4 linked regions of the Oryctolagus cuniculus genome follow. The protein of the gene in region 3 interacts with the protein of the main gene of each other region in a pairwise test. Links are inferred from orthologs where the notes say so. Each region holds a gene or a part of one and is shown on either strand. Other genes may lie near its edges. The genes, in order: IKBKG, HTT, TANK and PLK1.

Region 1 (5,001 bases), on a different chromosome or scaffold from region 3:
TGCCCGTAATACCAGGCTTCTCAAAGGAACTTCTCAAAGGAACTGGTAACTTTCAAGTGCTCCCTGTTAGATATTTGCTTAAATGCCTCTGAAGTCTCTCCAACGAAACAGTAAACATATCAGCTTCACTGGAAAGTATGTGCCAAACGTTACTTTCTTTGTGAGCAGCTAGCTCTCTAAGTCACCCGGCTTCTGGTTCAGTCCAAAACACGCCTGCCCTGAGCTCCTCAGTTCGGTCCTCCCCCGCCTACATCTCTGGTGTCTTCAGGATCAAGGGGTCCTAACACAGCTGCATACTCGGGATGGCCACGAAAGCAGACTTCACTGTGGCCTTGCTGGCTTTGATGGGGCAAGGTAGGTGCCTGTCTAAGCTTCAGTGCCTGCCTCTGCGTATTCGACAGGGACAAGAACACCTGCCCTCTAAGCAGCAGCAGCAGACACAGTGTTTGTGCAGAAACTCAAAAAAGAGCAGTCTTTGGCCGGCGCCGCGGCTCACTAGGCTAATCCTCCGCCTAGCGGCGCCGGCACACCGGGTTCTAGTCCCGGTCGGGGCGCCGGATTCTGTCCCAGTTGCCCCTCTTCCAGGCCAGCCCTCTGCTGTGGCCAGGGAGTGCAGTGGAGGATGGCCCAGGTGCTTGGGCCCTGCACCCCATGGGGAGACCAGGAAAAGCACCTGGCTCCTGGCTCCTGCCATCGGATCAGCGCGGTGCGCCGGCCGCAGCGCACCGGCCGTGGCGGCCATTGGAGGGTGAACCAACGGCAAAAGGAAGACCTTTCTCTCTGTCTCTCTCTCTCTCACTATCCACTCTGCCTGTCAATAAATAAATAAATAAATAAATAAATAAATAAGAGCAGTCTTCTTCTCGCCAGACTAAGCCATGAGCATATATCAGTGCCAGCGGCAGGTGGCTGGCAGAGGCCAGAGGAGAGGAAAGCCACATACCCAGCGACCACCCCAGGTAGAGGAAGAAGCATCTGACAAAAGCGATCAGTGACGTGCAAGGTTCTAGGGCAACCACAGAACCGTATCCAACAGAGGTAGACAGTAGTTTCACATCACTGAATGTTCCAAACCCTTGGCCATCACTGCTGCCTGCCCACTCAACCCGAGTCTCAACTTGTGTGCAATGTCTTTTAAATTTCTTTTTAGTGACGTAAAAATTCATGTAACATCAAATTCACCATTTTAACTATTTTAAAGTATAGTCATCCAGTGGTTTTTAGCTAATGAAGCTGTAAGATCATGCAACCATCAGCACTACCTAATTCCAGAACATTCCCAGCACCCCAGAAAGAAACCCCAAACCCAGCAGCATTCTCTCCCGTAGGCCCCCTGCCCGCACTCCTGGCGTCCACTCAACTGCTTTCTGTCTCTGAGACATGTCACGTGAATACAGGCAAGCTCTTCCGGGAAGTTTCTTCATAAACGTTCTGAGCAAACACTGTACCCTCCCTTGTTTGGTTTCACAGCCTACCTATAGACACAATCATGAGCACCTTGGGGGACAATCACCTTCAGGGCCCCGGGGGTCTCACATGCTGCCCCCCAAGCTTTATCCAGCTTCCCAGTTGGAGGCAATATAGCCTCAAGTCTCCACTTGCTGCCAGAGACTTAGCAAAGCTGTTGTGCTGAACACACAGTCTAGGAGGCAGAAGAGCCGAGCCACCACAGGCCATGGCATGAGCCCTGCACAACTGCTCTGAAATGCTCTGGGCCCCTAGGGATGAGCAGAGGCCCCGATCTGGCTGCCAGCTCTATGTGCATGACTTGTTCTGAAGACCCCAGCACAGTGGGTCCCACTCAAGGACAACTGTGACTCCCAGGGGACTGGAGGGGCACTATTGGCACCTGTGAGTAGAAGCCAGGGATACTGCTCACCATGCCACAATGGCTAGGACAGCCCTCACCACAGAGAATTAGCTGGCCCCAGAGGTCAACAGAACTGAGGTAGAAGACACTGCTGCTCTGTGCTCAAGACAGGGCCTCGGGGCCAGCGCCGTGGCATAGTGGGTAAAGCCGCCGTCTGCAGTGCCACCATCCCATATGGGCGCTGGTTCTAGACCCACTGCTCCACTTCCGATCTAGCTCTCTGCTATGGCCTGGGAAAGCAGAAGATGGCCCAAGTCCTCAGGCCCCTGCACCCGCATAGGAGACCCAGAAGAAGCTCCTGGCTCCCAGCTTGGGATCAGCACAGCTCTGGCCGTTGAGGCCATCTGCAGAGTGAACAAGCGGATGGAAGGCCTCTCTTTCTCTGTATGCCTCTGCCTCTCTGTAATTCTGCCTTTCAGATAAATAAATCTAAAAAAAAAAAAAAAAGGCGGGGCCTCTCCAATGCAACCTTCAAGGAAACCAAGCAGTCTCTTGGTGGCTAGCTGTCTCCTAGGAAGAGGACACACATTCCAGACCCAGGTCTGCTCCCTGCGTGCATGGCATCTGCCAGCACCACTCCCTGAGGCCACAGAGCACGTGACTCATCAGCAAAAGACCCTACATCACATCCAACACTCACTTAAGGAGGTGGGGAATGGGACTACAACTGTGGCAAGAGCCACTGGCCAACTAGGACATGAATGGCCAACTAAAGACACAACTGAGGCATCAGCTACCCCACTGCAGCAGGGGTCATGCCTCTCATGCTGGTCAACACCACCTCCTCTCAGGGTGGGCCACACCCACTTCCCAGGACAGGCCACAGCACCCCCCTCTCAAACAAGACCGCAACCCACCCCAGGAAAGTCTGAGTCCCCTCCCAGGGAAGAGGTCCTCTGAGGCTGGGCCACGCTGGTCCAGCCTGGAAGTGTCAGTCCAGCCCCAGAGTCCCTGGGGGTCAGCCAAGGCAGCCCACTTCTGCTGCCCACCCCTGCTTTCTCCCATCTCCTTCCCTTCTCTGCCTCAGTACTGACCCTGCCATGCACCTCGGTCTGCTCCCAGGGAACCCCGCCTGGAACCAGGAGGCAAGGTAGCTACGCTGGAAGCACAAGCTGGCTCTCGGGGTGCCCTCGCCCCACACCCAGCAGACGCAGAGGTGCACGAGAGAAGCCTTGCCTTCAGCAGGACCAGATCCCCTGACTTTGTGCCCCACCTACTTGCTGTCCACCTCACCTCGGAGCTCTTGGTTCTCCTCCAGACAGCGCTGGAGAGCGTCAGGAGCACCCTGCTCTGCGGGCAGATGCAGCATGGCCGGCTTCCCCAGAGAAGACTCTTCAGGCAGCACGTCCTGGTCCCCGGCCGGGCCGCCGCTGGGCTGCACCATCTCACACAGCTGGTTCTTCCAGGGCTGCCTGCTCATCCAAGGCACGCTCTTCGAGAAAGGCAGCAAAGGCATCCCATGAGACCCAGGGGAATTCTCATCCCCAGCAGGATAAGTACACTCTGTGCAGGAGCTCTGGGGCCATGAAGGCAAAATGCTGATCCCTCTGGCCGAAATGGGGTTTCGATCTAAGAGGTCACAAACACCCTCATTCCGAAGGAAGATGCTGAACCACCTCTGTGAGACTTGCACAGGCCATGGCTTAGCACTGGTTACGGACTCTGTACCAGCACCCATCTTCAGGATGCACACCTAAGGCAGGAACTTTGCCAGAGGCAGAAAACTAAGGATTATTGTAGCAGGAGACATCGGTGTGCGCTGGGACCCCTACCCTTACACAGACCCTCAAGCCGGAGGGGATGTTCCCTCCCAAGTACTGTAGGCTGCATGGTAGCCCCAAAACCTATAAATGCAACTTTATTTGGGAAAAGTATCTTTGCAGATGTAAACTAAGGGCCTTGATCAAAATGAGAGCTTGCTGGGTTATTCAGGTGGGCCTTAAATCCATTAACAAGTGTCTTTATAAAAGACAAAAGACAGAGGAAAACATGCAAGGAAGAAAGCCAGGTGAAAACAGTCAGAAGGGGCCAGCATTGTGGTGTAACGGGTTAAGCCACCATCCCATATAGGCACTGGTTCAAGGCCTGATTACTCCACTTCCAATCCAGCTCCCTGCTAATGCACCCAGGAAAGCAGCGGAAGATGGCTCAAGTGCTTGGGTCCCTGTACCCAAGTGCGAGACCCAAATGAAGTTCCTGGCTCCTGGTTTCAGCCTGGCCTGGCCCTGGCCATTGCAGCCATCTGGGGAGTGAAACGGCAGACAGAACATCTCTCTCTCTCCATCCTACCCTCTCTATCTGCCTTTCAAATAAATAAATCTTTTTTTAAAAAAAATGAAGCAGATAGTGGCCAGGGAGTGCAGTGGAGGATGGCCCAAGTCCTTGGGCCCTGCACCCCATGGGAGACCAGGAGAAGTACCTGGCTCCTGCCATCGGATCAGCGCGGTGCACCGGCCGCAGTGCGCCGGCCGCAGCGGCCATTGGAGGGTGAACCAACGGCAAAGGAAGACCTTTCTCTCTCTCTCTCTCTCTCTCACTGTGCACTCTGCCTGTCAAAAAAAAAAAGAAGCAGATAATAAAGAGATGTGGCCACATGCCAAGGAAAAATCAGAGCCACCAGAAGCTGGAAGAGACGAGAGAGAACCCTCTCCTCTCAGCCTCTGGGGCTGCAGTCCTGTCGACTTTTTGCTTTCCAACTACTGTCCTCCAGAACCACGAGATTACATTTCGGGTGCTTTAAGCCACCAAGCTTGTGGTCACTGCCTACAGCAGTCCTCACAGACCTAGCAAGAGGGGCTCTGAGTCCACTAACAGTCTAACAAGTGTAGCCCCTGGAGTCAGATATGCGCTGAGGAATCTTCAAAGTGGGAGCTGGCCTGACACAGTTGAGGAAGAAGACAGGCTGAGCCGCCTGTGTTTTCTTAGAAACCAGAGCTGGTGCGTGGGGAACAGCACCAACCCCAGGACCTTTTAAATCCTGCCAAGAAGACCGAGCACCAGGAGGAAGTGGCCAACCCCAATGCAAGTCTCCAGAAGCAGGCTTGACATGAAGGAATGTCACTTTAACACCAAATAAACTTGGCCACTTGGACTATAACACTGATCTTGTCCCAGTGAATATCCGCTGACCT
Region 2 (4,306 bases), on a different chromosome or scaffold from region 3:
TGTGGCCAGCTCTTTCTCCCTCCCACCCGTCAGGTGCCCACTTACTGGGCTACGCCCTTGAGGTTGGAGAGGAGATAGTCGCTGATGACGGGGATGAGCTGCTTCGCCGTGTCATCCAAGAGGTCGCACTCCAGCACGTAGAGGGCGCCGTGCAGGGCTCCGATCCTGCTGGGCAGGTGGCCGCTCCTGAGCGTGGTCTCCAGCAGGCGGCTGACGGGCTCGGCCACAGCCTTGTCCTGCAAACAAGCACAGGCAAGGTTGCCCAGGATGGAGCAGGAGCAGCTGGCCCAGTGGCCGGCTGCCCTGTAGCTAAGAGGCTGCCCTCATGTCCAGAGAAGTCCAGCATGCAGAAGAGCCCTGAGAGCTGGCCTGTGACAAGGTTAGCCCCTCGCTGCCTGAGAGGCCTGTGCACCAGGTTAGCCCCTCGCTGTCTGAGAGAGGCCTGTGCACCAGGTTAGCCCCTCGCTGTCTGAGAAGCCTGCACACAAGGTTAGCCCCTGGCTGTCTGAGAGAGGCCTGCGCACCAGGTTAGCCCTTCGCTGGCTCTGGGAGGGTGCCCACTGCCCACACGGGCCTCGGCTGCCTGTGCAGACAAGGGGGCTCATGCTGCACCTGCTGTCCTGGGAGTCTGAGGTTTAGAACGAGCCCGGCCGAGCGTGCCCACACGACCAGCCCCCCATGAAGACCCCGCACACGGAGTCCCTGCCGGGCTCCCCTGGCTGACTGCATGTCCTGTGTGTTGTCAGAACGTCTCGCTGGGGGACTGAGCATGAGCTGGGAGAGTCCACTGGGAGAGGATTCTGGGAGCTCGGCCGGTCTCCTTGGAACTTTGGCCCTGTGCCTTTTCTCTTTGCTGACTCTGCTCTGAACCCCTTCCTATAATGAATTTAAGCTGTGATCCCTTCTAACAAAAATATGGAGTCATCTTGGGGACTCTCGACAGCACTCGATGCTGCCTTGGTCCATTTCGCTCAGTCCTGTGAGTCCTAGTACAACGGGTCCTGTACACACCGAGACCCACGCGGCACTGTGCTCTGTAACAGTCGCAGGCAGTGGTGGGCGTGCTGCAACACCAGGTTCTCCACACCGTTTCCACGCAGAGTGGCTGCTGCTGGCTGACACCTTGTCTTGACGAGAGGCCGTGGCCATCCAGCTTTCTGTGGGAATTCTGCGTCCCAAGCCTCAGGCAGAAGGAGACGCTCCCTGCTTCACCCCTGGGCTGGGCCTGCCCGACTCCTCAGCCCCACTGCTGAAAACACGGCCCGCTGCCACCACGCGGGTGTCCCTGCCGGGGCTGAGGACGGCACGCTGCAGACCCTCACAGAAGATGGCCATCTTCCAGGGAAAAGCTGTGTGCACAGAACTCAGAAGCAGGGTCCAGGCGCCTTTCTGCCTCAGGATCTCTCTAGAAAATTGTTATTTCTTATTTCATTTATTTGATTTACATTTGCCTGGGGGCTCTGGGTCTAGCACAAAACACAGTGACAATGAAAAGTTAAGCCAGCCACTGGAACTCCCCACAGAGAAAAAAGGCCCCTTCCAGGGAGCTGCTTTGCCATCATTCAGGCAGCACCCAGAGGCACTGACTTTGAAGAACATGTTCACACCAGGAGACCCACACCCATTGTCTCTGCTCCCTGCGTGGCTCTGAGTCACTGGCACGGCAGCAGGCTGAAGGCCACCCACGACACCCTACCTGCTCCAGCACCCAGGCTCTGCCGGGACAGACCCCAGGAGGGAGCAGTGGGCAACAGGGCGAGCCCCCATCCTGTGCGACCTGGCACAAGTCAGCTAACCTCCGACCTCTGCTTTCTCAGGCTGCCTTTCAGATGTAGACGAGGCCAGGGGTGCGGGCATAGCAGGAGCGGCAATGTTCCTGCTGTCACACAGAGGAAAACGCGTGGAACACGGGGTAGCCAGGTACCCTCAAGCCCCCACCAGAGGCCTAAATGCTGACACACACAGTACTGAAGTGGCCACAGAACACGAGTGCCTTACAGTGTTGTAAGGACTGACGGCACTCATGGTTAGTGGTGCGTATAGCTGACGTGTGTGGCTGGCAGCCTTCCCATGGTGACACAGGCACAGGATCTGGTGCCGTAAGCACCGATGAGCTCAAGGCAGAGTAAGGAGGAACCGGAAGACACCATCTGACCCTTGCTAGGGCCCGAATGCTTGTGCCCCACCTCCCGCCCCCAACTCGCAGGCTGAAAACCAACTCCCAGTGTGACAGCACTCCGCGGGTGGGCTCATGCCACCCCAGGGACACGGCAAGCAGCGCCCCTCACTGTGCACAGAACCTGCTCGTGTCGTGCTCACGGGCTGGCTGTGAGCCATCCAGGCCAAGAGGCTTTGCCCCAGCAGCTCAACACCCAGTTGGCCCTGGCGCCAACAACACGTCACAGTGCCCAGACCTGGGAGCAGGAATGCAGGCCGCTGTGGCAAACGCAAGCGGCACAGAGGGACTGGGCGTGCACTGGGCCACCGGCAGACCGTGGAGAGGCCGTCGTGCGGCTGCAGGGACCATCTCTGTGAGGAGTGTGGAACGGCAGCAGCAGAACTGGATGCTCTGAGCTGAAGACTAGCCGGGGAACCGGCAGCAGGGCGTGCCACTCACCATGCCGAGGACAGCAGCTGCCTTGCAGGTGGCAGGCACCAGGTACTGGATGAGAATCTCGTCTTCCGAAGGGTGCACCCTCCGCAGCTCGGTCAGCGTCGCATACATCATCTCAAACTGGTTGCGTTCAGTGAACAGGTCTGAGACCACAAGAAGCTGGAGGGGGAGTGTCGGGGAGGAAGGGAAGACTACGCAATCAGAAAGGCAGGCGGTGCGGCCCGACGCGCCAGCGACGACAGGCTACCTTCGAACGCTCACAGGTGAGGTGCGGGAATGCACAGGAACCCCAACCGAGAACCTAAAAACCTAACACGGGGGCCGGCGCCGTGGCTCACTTGGTTAATCTTCTGTCTGCAGCACGGGCATCCCATATGGGCACTGGGTTCTAGTCCTGGCTGCTCCTCTTCTAGTCAGCGCTCTGCTGTGGCCCGGGAGGGCAGTGGAGGATGGCCCAAGTGCTTGGGCCCTGCACCGGCATGGATGACCAGGAAGAAGCACCTGGCTCCTGGTTTTGGATGGCACAGCGCCAGCCATAGTGGCCATTTGTGGGGTGAACCAGCGGAAGGAAGACCTTTCTCTCTGTCTCTCTCTCACTATCTAACTCTACCTGTCAAGTAAGTTAAAAAAAAAAAAAAGTGGAGTTCTGGGACTTCAACCCAGACACTCTAAAAACAAAACCTAAACACAGAACATGAAGAAAACCCCGTCACTGGCACCCACGCCTGCCCCAGAGGGCAGCCCTGGCACAGCCAGCGCCCACATGGGAACAGTGAAAGGGCTACTTCTGTGATGGCTCCCAAGGATAGGACCTCACCACCACACAGGAGGAGTCAGGCGGACAACTACTTGTTGAGAAGTAAGTGTGGTTTTTTTCAGGTGAGCTTCCAACACCCTCTTTCTCTATTTTTTTTTTTTAAAGATTTATTTATTATTTGGAAGTCAGAGTTAACATACAGAAGAGACAGAGAGAGGGAGAAAAAGATCTTCCATCCGCTGGTTCATTCCCCAGATGGCCACAATGACTGGGGCTGGGCCAGGCCAAAGCCAGGAGCCAGAGGCTTCTTGCAGGTCTCCCACGTGGGTGGCAGGAGTCCAAGTATTAGGGCCATGTTCCATTGCTTTCCCCAGGCCATCAGCAGGGAGCTGGATCAGAACTGGAGCAGCTGGGACATGAACCAGCATCATAGGGACGCCAGCAGCTTATCTGCTATGCCACAATGCTGGCCCCTTCTCTAAGGTTCTACTCCTAACATTACACCTAAAATCAGAACTCAATCATGGGCACCCTATTCTGCAGGAGTGGGTGGGGGCGGGGGCTGAGGCTCTGAAGTGGCCCGGGAAGCCTGGTATAGCTGAGACCCTCCAGGTGACTGCCAAGGACCAAACTATGCCCACAGCAATGCTGACCAGTTGCCTCTCCCCGACCTCAATTTCCCCAGTGTATGACCGAAGTCTGCAGTGCTTACGTGGTATTATAAACTGAGCCAAGAGCAGACATGTGAATTTAGCTGTTTTCTAACAAGCTACACATTTTGCTTTTTAAATTTTTAAAAAATATAAAAAAGCTATTCTAATTTTTAAAACCTATTTGTAACAAATTACTTTTGACTGGTCGGGTGTGTCTCCAGAGCGCCTCAGGTTCTGCTCCATCGCTGACACTGAGACACCAAGGCCGCAGCTAGCGCCCTC
Region 3 (4,920 bases):
GTTAAAATGATACTAACCTTAAATATTTTCATTACAAAACAAAAAATAAAAATAAAAATAAAAATAAATGAACCAGACATTGATTTGAAAAACTGTGAAAAGTAAAATAGTCCAAAAACAGCTTTAAGAAAATATTAATAATGATTAAACAAAGATAAATGATTTAAAAAACAAAGCCTACTATAAAATCGGTACATCCCAAAGGTGAGCTCTGTGACAAGTCCAATTAGGGGAAAAAAATAAAGCATAAATGGACAAAGGAGTAATGAAAAAAGATTATCCAAAAAGTTATAGAGGTGATTCAAATGTGTGAGAATACCAGGTATGACAACAATTTGAAAAATTTGATTAAAAGAATAACTTTAAGTAAAAAATATTACTTAAGCCAGAATAAATCAATAATAGTAGAAAATATTAGAAAAACTTTTTAAAAATTGCTTCCAAAATGATGCCAAGGCCAATGGTGTTATCAATTTGTTCTTTAAGTATTTCAGGGAACAGATAACATATTAAACTTTTTCAGAATATGAAGCATTGTGTTATTTTACCTTATAAAGCTGGCCTAAATCTTTAATACTAAAAATCTATTAATTATAATTTCCAGAATAATAAAAATACACATTAATATCACTTATAAATGGGAATGTAGAAGTTCTCAGTAAATAACCAATCTTTATTTTTTGGAATGTATTTTCTTCATATGAATTGGATATAAGATTAACTAGTTTGAATGTGCATTTTGCTTACAATTACTTGTTATAACTGAATTGTTGTCTGCAGCTAGCACTGTCATAAAAGGAAAGATTTTTGCATAAAGCATCGAAACATCTGCTTTGAATTATTTGGTTGCTCTGCCTGGATAGGGTTCTTGGCTTATGCTACATCGTTTTTGCTCTTTTCTGCTAGTTTGAGTTCTAAGTTGAATTGTGAAGCCAAAATTATAGAGGAGAGGTGTCTAAGCATGTGGATTAAAGAGAAAAAAGTGGAAATCTGTAGGTTTAGTTTGGTTTCTTTTGATCAACTAATTATTTTAATCAGAGTAACATAATATAGTGTATAACTATAATCCTATCTTTATTACTGAAGCATTATAACATGATTTTTGATCACAAGATTTTTTAAAAAAAATGTAATTGCTATACTGTGTGTAACAGCACAATACTATATGCAGTAGAAAAATCATGCAGTTCTCTTTAATGAAACCAAAACCATATTAGACATAGATTAACATGAAGTGTTGATTTTTTTCTTTAATATGCCTGTAGTGAACTATGACATTTGGTAGTTTTTTGGTATTTATGATAAATGTATTTGTCCCAGACCAATAGCCAACATCATTCTTAGTGTTAACTGCAAGGGAAATTCCCACTGAGATCAGGAACAAGACAAGGTTGACTGACTGTTCTTTCTTCTGTTATTAAACACTGTTCTAGAAGTTCTGGCCAATGTGGTGACAAGAAAAAAGAAAGGAGACATATTTTTCTAACTAGATATCATATTTATGAATTACATAAAATAGTTTACAACAGATAGGGGGTCAAAATGACTGAAAGATAAAATTTTGAAATCAATATGACAGCAGTTATTTGAAAATACGGTGCAAAGAATATCAAGATAGTGCCTATACTATTGATATACAAGGAAGAAGCTAAAACAAAATCGATTGGAATACATTTTACAACAAAGAACCTTATGTTCACTGAGGCCTTAATACATTCAGAGACCTGGAAGTTCACCAGCAGGAAGGTTCTATATTAGTGGGTTGAGTATTTCCCTCAAATTAGGATAGAAATTTTATGAAATTCTCACCAGAACTTTTTCAAGGGTACTTAACAGACTTATTTTGAATTATCCAGTTAGCCATCTCTTTCATGGTCATAAATGTTTAAGAGAAATAACTGGACTTTATTCTAGGCCCCAGTAGGCAGCTAGACAAGTACCTCAGGCAGGTTGGACTAGGTATACAGCCCCAAGTCCTGCCCTGATTCTGAAGCTTATTGCATGGAGGCATTCCAGTGTGTCTGTCATGCGGTGTAAAGTGTACCCTGGAGAGAGTGTGGAGATGTGCTGGCCAAGTGACAAGGGAGACCTCGCTGCTAGGAATGATGTGGTTGCTCTGTGAACTCAGTGAAGTCATTTGCCTTTTTTCTCCATCCTGCTGCAAGATAACCTTCAAATATTGTTTTAATGTTGTAAAAAGGAAGGGCAGGGTAATGAATAAAAAGCCATGGAAAAAGAAGTGGTACGAATTTATATTTGAGCTCTTGCTCTAGACGACCCTGTGATCATTTTCGTCCAGTAGGCATGCCATGTGGCAGCTGTTAATGTAGCAACAGTGACAATGGTTCTTGATATTTAATTTTTTTGATCTGTCAATTTTTCCTAGGATTATTCTTAAGAAAATAGTACATCACCTCTAATATTCATGTTTGATCAGGAAAATAAAAAGGCCAGTTGGTAAGAAAATAAGACTAGATTACTATAATTGTGTTAGCTTAAATGTTCTAAGATAGGAAATACAGGGTTGTCTGTAAGCTTAATACTTTAGTGTGATGAAATGGGTTTCTAATGAAATGGAAAAATATTAAATGTAACTTAATTTTGAATACATATACTGGATCTGATTGGAATTGATTTTTAAAATATAACAAAAAGTATGAATACATATAATATTAATTTACAACCTACTAAACCATATACAATTTAATTTAGGCCAAGTATCTCTCAGTCTTATATTATGCAATAAAAAATCGCTCAGTGTAGAAGACTTATATTCCAGATATAAATTTAAACAATTATTTGAAGTAGAGGCATAAATTATATCTTAATAGTTAGAAAAGAATCAAATTTCCTTGGATCTTCGCTAGGGACCCAACTTTTAAAGGGCAATTTCTAACTATGACAATGAATACAAGGACATTACTGAATCATATAATAAAGTATTCACTTAGAAAAAGCAACAGTGGAACAAATATGCAACACTACAGTTATAGACATTCAGGCCACTTTGGTAGGCTGAGAATCTAAGAACTGCTAAAATTCGATTACCTCTTCTCCAGGTCACAATCTTCCTTCACAGACTATTCCTCTTTAAAGATGAAGGCAAGACTGGAAGTTTTTTTCCACAAGCTCTACCAATGCTGCCCAAACTGTCCTGAGCTCTCCCTTGTGTTGAACTGGGAACTTCCACTGAGAAATCCCCTGACTAGAAGACTTCCTTATTTGTAGCTACCAGCAGCCAATCATAGCAAGATATTGAAATGAAGAAAAGACTACCAGAAAATATTCTGTAAACCACCCGTGACTGTAGCTCTGACTTCCTTTTGAAGCAGAGATACTTTAGTTGAATAGTTAAGGTGTTTTAACAAAAAGTCAGAAATTATAAACTCAAAATAGTGTATTAGCATATTTTCATGTAAGAACATTTGAAAGGAAGTTTATTTGATAAATGAATTAATAGACTTTAAGAAGTCACTTTTTCACCTAAGCAGTCTATTTATAAATAGCAGGGAAAGATCAAATTTGAGTATAGATGTCTGCTTTAGGGCTATAGATGAAGACGAAGACTAGTTTAATAATGATTTTTGCTGCATTTCCAAGACTGATCCCAGGTACTCAGAACAGGAGTAAAACAAAGCCTCTTGAAACAGCTTCTCTGCTTTGAGAACTAGGGCCTGCTCTTTGTGTGGACGAGTGTGTATTACAGCACACTGGAGAAATGCTTCACAAATGCGTGCATTTCTCTGAGGCTACTTGGAGCAAAACATCAAGTTTTATGTGCAAATGGAAGGCAGCATATGCACCACAGACATTTTTCTTTGTTATAAAATTTTAGGGCTGGAAATGTCCTTTGACGCCATCTGTTCCATTTCCTTTTTATTACAGATGAGGAAACAGAGGGTAAATGCTCAATGTCAAAAAGGAAGTTAGAAGTAGCACTCAGATTAAATTCTGAGTCTTTTGAATCCAAGTGCTTTCTTTTTTTCTTTCTCTTTCTTTCTTAACTGTACTATACTCTTGGTGTATCAAATTACTGAACTGAAAATAGACTAGCAAAATGAGCTGTCTCCTTGTTTAGCTCCTGCATTTTTGTAGATGAGGTTGAGGCCATACTCAAAGTTCCACAATTAGTAAAAGGACTATAATATAGAACTTCTGACTCTTGGTCAGAAGTTTCTTTTCTACTCCTCTACTTTTAAAGCACTGCCTTCTCTTAAACTTACATGTTAAATAAGACTGATATTTTGCTTCTTATGATAAAATAATTTTGAAAGTGTCCTAAACACTGAGTAAGCTTATGAGTAAAACATTCCATATATTCATCTAACATAAAGTAAAACATTACATTTCCTTTAACAATATGTGCTTTATAACTGTTGTACTGATAAAATATCAAGCACAGCATGTCCTTTGGTGCTATGGCAAAATAAAACCTATTTAATAGAATAAAAATAGCAAAAAGAAAACAATAAAAAAGTGAGATAGTCACTGGTGAAAAGAGAACTTCTCAAGAATTTACATTTCTGGCAGGATACACAGCAGACTCATAGAATGGCAAAAGCCCAAAACAACACTCTGGCCTCAGAATCAGCCCTTAAGGCATTTGGATCTGGCTAAAAAGCCCATAAGAGTTTCACAGGCATGGAAAGCCAAGACACTGTGGCAAAAAAAAAAAAAAAAAAAACAAAAAAAAACAAACACCTAAATGAAAGATCTCTGTGAGTGAGATCCCTGCAGAAAGAATGGGCCATCAAAGAAGGCAGTACCTTTCTCTGAAGGGAGGAGAGAACTTCCACTTTGACTGTGGCCTTGTCTAAATAAGATTGGAGTTGGCGAACTCAAGAGGCTTCCATAGCCTTGGCAGCTCATGACAAGAGCCTCGGGTGATTACTGATGTCATAAATAAAATTCTTAAATCAG
Region 4 (4,836 bases), on a different chromosome or scaffold from region 3:
AGCTGGGCCCCCCAAGCCCAGGCCCCCCAGCAGCTCCAGCGCCTTGGCGATGCACTCACCCTGCGGCGGCAGAGCTCCAACACCACGAACACGAAGTCGCTGTCCTCGAAAAAGCCGTGGAAGCCGACGACGTGCTGGTGGGCCAGGCTGCGGTGAATGGAGATCTCCATGGACATTTTCTCCTTCTGGTGCGGCTTGAGCAGCAGAGACTTGGGCACGATCTTGCCGGCGAACACCTCCTTGGTGTCCGCATCGGAGATCTCGAAGCATTTGGCGAAGCCGCCCTTGCCCAGAAAGCGGCCCCGCACATAGCGCCGCCGGCTGCGTGGGTCCACCAGGACCTCGGGGATCTCTTTGGCCGGCGGAGCAGCTGCCGGTGCTCCGGGAGCTGCCACTCCGGGGCCGCCAGCCTTCCCTGGGTCGGCCGGCGCCCGCGCCAGCTTTGCTGCACTCAGCGCTGCACTCATGCTCCCGGGGCTGCTCGGCGGACCTGGCAGGGTCGGGGCAGAGGCTCTGCACCGCACTGCTCCTCCCCGAATTCAAACGCGGCGCTGGGAACGTTACAACAGCCTGCGCGCCACTGATTGGCCGCGGGGATTTAAAATCCAAACCCGCCCGCCGCGCGGGACCATGGGAGCGCTCCGCACCGCCCGCCCGTCAGCCCGGACCCGGGCAGGAAAACACTTGATTGACAGCAAGGCGCCGACGGTAGACACGTGGGCTCTCCTGGGAAAGCGTCCCCGGCCTGGGGAGGCCGAGCCCCAGCCCCGGGTAGAGGGGAATTCGTTCAGGGCTTCTCCCTTACTGGGGAGCCGGGCCGCTCCTGCGGTTCACACGCTCCCTCGGGCAAGTTTTTCCCAAGAGTAGAGACCCCGCAGCGCCTAGAGGCAGTTTAAGAGAGCCACAGCTGACCTGCAGGGCAGCCGCCTGCCTGCCCCGGGCCCTCGGGCGAGCCACCCCGAATAAACTGGAATCTAAGTGAAAGCAGGCACCTTCACGGGACGCCTCTGGTCCCCTCCAGGGCTCTGCATTACACAGCAACGCCGCTCAAAGCACCGTCCAGGAGCCAGCAGCATCACCATCACCTGGAGCTTCAGGCCTGCTCCAGCTCTCCCAGGTCAGAATCTGCCCAGGTGATTCCTACACACACTGGAGCCCGCTACGGGACGCGGGAAAGCTGCCTGGCTCGCCTTCCCAAGTGCCTAAAATAGAGGACGCGGGAGAGGGAGGCTGGCTGGGAGAATGCCTAGAGACGGGCAGGTCACAGCCACAGCTGAGCTGCAGGCTGTTTGGTGTGGTTTTCCACTTTGAAAATTTGAATTCATTCACAGCAAAGAGAGCTCAAGCTGGGCTTGGGGACACTTGCATTCCCTGTCAAAGTGCCTGGCTTCAAGTCCCACCTCTGCTTCAGTCCAGCTTCCCGCTAATGCACACCCTGGGAGGCCACAGGTCACCGCTCAGCTACTTGAGTCCCTGGCTTCTGGCTCTGGCTTGGCCTAGCTCTGGCTGTTGTGGACATGCGGGGAGTGAACAGAGGATAGAGAATCTCTCTTTCTCTCTCTCTGCCTTTCAAATTAGGCAAAATAAATACAGTTACAAAAAAAAATAAATAAAGGTGGCTCACACAAAAATTCAGATTTGTGGCTTTTTCTGAAATAATCCGAGGTGCCAACCACTCTGGACTGACCAACCCTCCCAGTCTGCCACAGCACCCAGCTCCCGCCTGCGCCCATTCCGAAGGCCCTTGACTGACAACCCTGGGACAGCAGAACACGAAGGTGGACGGTCTCTGAGTAGCGACAATCAGAGCACAAGCTCCTCCTGACCAGGCCCCCACTTAGGCTGGTGCAACGAAGACAGCACCTCATGCCAACTGGCAGTGCAGCATGCGTGGCTGGTGCGGGTATTACCGAAATGGTTGCTGAGTAAAAGCAAGGGTTTTTGCTTTTAATCATCATTTTTTTAAAAATCCCCATCAAGTGTACTCTATTTTAGCTTTTCACTAATATTTGGAAGACTCCACAGGACAATTTTCACATCCTAGCGGCACATTTTCACAAACTGTAAACATGCCCCATGTAAACAACACTCAGACTGAGAACGAGAACCCCACCAACACCCAAGAAGCCCTCCTTGTGCCCTAACCACCCCTCAGTTAGATGATTCACTAGGACAGTCGCAGGACGGAGCACACACTTGAACTCACAGCTGTGAGTTAGTTCAGCGAAAGGCTAGGAATAAAAGCAGCAAAGGAAAAAGACACACGGAGCGAAGTCCAGAGGAACCCAGGTGTGAGTTTCCCAGTCATTTCCCAGCGTAGTCACAAAGGACACCCTGACTTCTTCCAGCAATGAGTTGGGACTACCTACAATTTTCACTGGGTGCTGGTCATGATGTTGGCCTCTGCCTAACACCTATCAGAACTCCAGACTCTCAGGAGAAGCAGGTGTACGGCACGCAGGAGCGGTGAGAACCTACCTGAAATCTAAGCTCCCAGACAGCAGCCCAGGGTCAACCTTGCAAACAGACCTTCGGAAGGGGAGCCAGCCGCAGCCTGCTCCGTTAATGCTTATCACCTCTCTATTAACTTCTGCACCACTCACCCTCTGGGCTGAGGCTTCTTCACAGAAAAATTACCAGTAAGACTGCGTGTGAAGAGGCAAGACCGTCCTGCACTGTGGTTTCAGTCACGCCTGCTACGGGTCTGAAGTTTAGCCGGTTCCCATCACTCCCATAACTGCAGAAGTCCATCTCAGAAAGCCAGGTGGCCTCCGCCTTGGGTGATGTAAACCATGCTAACTGACCTGAGGCGTCAGTTCAGGCACGGCAGGACTCTGGCCAGCAGGTTGAAGCCCTTCCAGGGCTGGTGCAGGGTCAGGGCAGTCAGGGTCACATAGACAAGTACAACCCCAGAGGCCCAGGTGGCACCCCTGGATACAACGCCTTTACAAAATGAGGGCAGGACATAAATCAGGCACAACAGGTTAACAAGGGGCCCCCCTGTGGACTCCTACCATGTTTTCAGGCCCATCAGAAAAGTTCCCAGAGTGCTTGGTTTCTGAGGAACTTCCTGAAGGCAGTGAGTCCCAGTTTTGCCTGTTCACGACACAAGTTTATCCTACTCGTCAGTGTGGATGGCAAGCGAAGGTGTTTGGTATACAAAGTGCTGGAGCCCTCCCCTCCCCCACTGTCCGCCGTCTGAACCCCAAGCACTCCAACAGGTGGAAAGGCAGCGCGGGGAACTTACCCTTCAGGAAGAGGGGAAGGTTTTCAGGAATAGTTCTCAAGAACAAGTATCAGGCCTCCTCAGGTGCCAGGTTTTTATTTCTCCAATGTTACAAAATTAGTCCTCTTCAACAATCCTAACTTTACATTCTTTCAATCATTTTTTAGGCCTTTTGTATGGAAGAGTTGTATACAGGAGGTACAAAGACAGCTTTGCAGATACAGATCTGTACACAACGTAATAGAAAGACACAGTCAGGAGCTTGTAAGGATGCTATGGGGTGTATCCCCCAAAATCCACTTGTTGAAGCCCTAATCACTGGTACTTCAGAATGCGACTGTGTTTGGAGATAGGCTTTTAGAGCGGAGATGAAGTTGAAATGGGGTTGTTAGGGTGGGCACTAATCCAATAGGACTGGTGGCCTTATAGAAAGGGGTGATAAGACGCAGAGACACACACACAGAGGGACTCTGGGAGGACACAGCAGGAAGGCAGCCATCTGTGAGCCGGGGAGAGAGGCTTCAGGAAAAATCAAACCTGTTGTCACCTTGCTCTTGGACCCCCAGCCTCCAGAATAGTAAGAAAATAAATTCCTATTGTTTACGCCACTCAGTTTCTGGTATTTCATTACGGTAACCCTAGCAGACTAGTAGAGGATAAAATTCTAAATTTTCAGAAATTTACAAATTAGTGTATATCACTGTCCTCTGTTTTTGTCCTGTCTACCCAATGTACAGGCTGGAAAAGACCAAGCCCTTTCTGGGGACAGTAACATTTTATCAACCTACCTCATTTGGCTGTGTGTACTCGAGAAAAGTGAAGGGAAGCAGAGTTAGACTATCAGGTAATGTCGTGAGCTGCAACTAATCCCGAAAGCTGAGCCTGAGCCAACAAACAGCAGCACTGTCGAAGCAGGCACAAAGGTGACAGTCTCAGTGACGTGCCTTTCCCAGCTGGTGACTTTCAGCACAGATCTGACTTCAGGAATGCAATCAGCCTCTGCAGCAGAGACAGCAGCTGATCAGCAGTTTGATTGTAGGCGTTCCTGTCAGAGAAGCCCCTTCCTGTGGGCACTTGTGTGCCAAGCAGATGGTTCAGCCAGCATCCAGATGTCTTCAGATTCAGGGCCCCATGGAGGGGGCCCTAAATCACCAGTGGTCCCAGGGTCTGAGTCCTGTTCATTGAGCTGGCGCCTGCTTTCAGCTCAGCATAGCTCATTTGTGGCTCAAACAGCTGACAATATGGGGCCAGTGCTGTGGCATAGCGGGTAAAGCCGCCGCCTGCAGTGCCAGCATCCCATACAGGCACTGGTTTGAGACCGGCTGCTCCACTTCTGATCCAGCTCTCTGCTGTGGCCTGGGAAAGTAGTGGAAGATGGCCCAAGTCCTTGGGCCCCTGCACCCACGTGGGAGACCTGGAAGAAGCTCCTGGCTCCTGATCGGCGCTGCTCTGGCCGTTGTGGCCATCTGGGGAATGAACCAGAGGATGGAGGACCTCTCTCTCTCTCTGCTTCTCCTTCTCTCTCTGTGTAACTCTGACTTTCAAATAAATAAATAAAATCTTTAAAAAAGAAAAAAAAAAAAAACAGCTGACAAAAGACACTGGCGAGT

What was found.
Region 1: the proteins of TANK (region 3) and IKBKG interact in binary tests that used the Homo sapiens proteins (3 or more experiments, as listed by UniProt). The link is inferred for Oryctolagus cuniculus from reciprocal best matches to the Homo sapiens genes TANK and IKBKG.
Region 2: the proteins of TANK (region 3) and HTT interact in binary tests that used the Homo sapiens proteins (3 or more experiments, as listed by UniProt). The link is inferred for Oryctolagus cuniculus from reciprocal best matches to the Homo sapiens genes TANK and HTT.
Region 4: the proteins of TANK (region 3) and PLK1 interact in binary tests that used the Homo sapiens proteins (3 or more experiments, as listed by UniProt). The link is inferred for Oryctolagus cuniculus from reciprocal best matches to the Homo sapiens genes TANK and PLK1.

Annotation. Positions count from the first base shown.
Region 1 is NC_091453.1:132,763,445-132,768,445, reverse strand, and holds the start of IKBKG (NF-kappa-B essential modulator), read right to left. Parts: upstream 3,291-5,001; coding exon 3,104-3,290; intron 1-3,103. UniProt on the Homo sapiens protein: Regulatory subunit of the IKK core complex which phosphorylates inhibitors of NF-kappa-B thus leading to the dissociation of the inhibitor/NF-kappa-B complex and ultimately the degradation of the inhibitor.
Region 2 is NC_091433.1:1,886,181-1,890,486, reverse strand, and holds part of HTT (huntingtin), read right to left. Parts: intron 2,774-4,306; coding exon 2,618-2,773; intron 237-2,617; coding exon 46-236; intron 1-45.
Region 3 is NC_091434.1:80,592,891-80,597,810, forward strand, and holds the start of TANK (TRAF family member-associated NF-kappa-B activator), read right to left. Parts: upstream 3,186-4,920; 5' UTR 3,049-3,185; intron 1-3,048.
Region 4 is NC_091450.1:15,675,555-15,680,390, forward strand, and holds the start of PLK1 (serine/threonine-protein kinase PLK1), read right to left. Parts: upstream 3,166-4,836; 5' UTR 468-3,165; coding exon 60-467; intron 1-59. Other genes in the region: DCTN5 (dynactin subunit 5), read right to left, coding at 4,059-4,225. UniProt on the Homo sapiens protein: Serine/threonine-protein kinase that performs several important functions throughout M phase of the cell cycle, including the regulation of centrosome maturation and spindle assembly, the removal of cohesins from chromosome arms, the inactivation of anaphase-promoting complex/cyclosome (APC/C) inhibitors, and the regulation of mitotic exit and cytokinesis.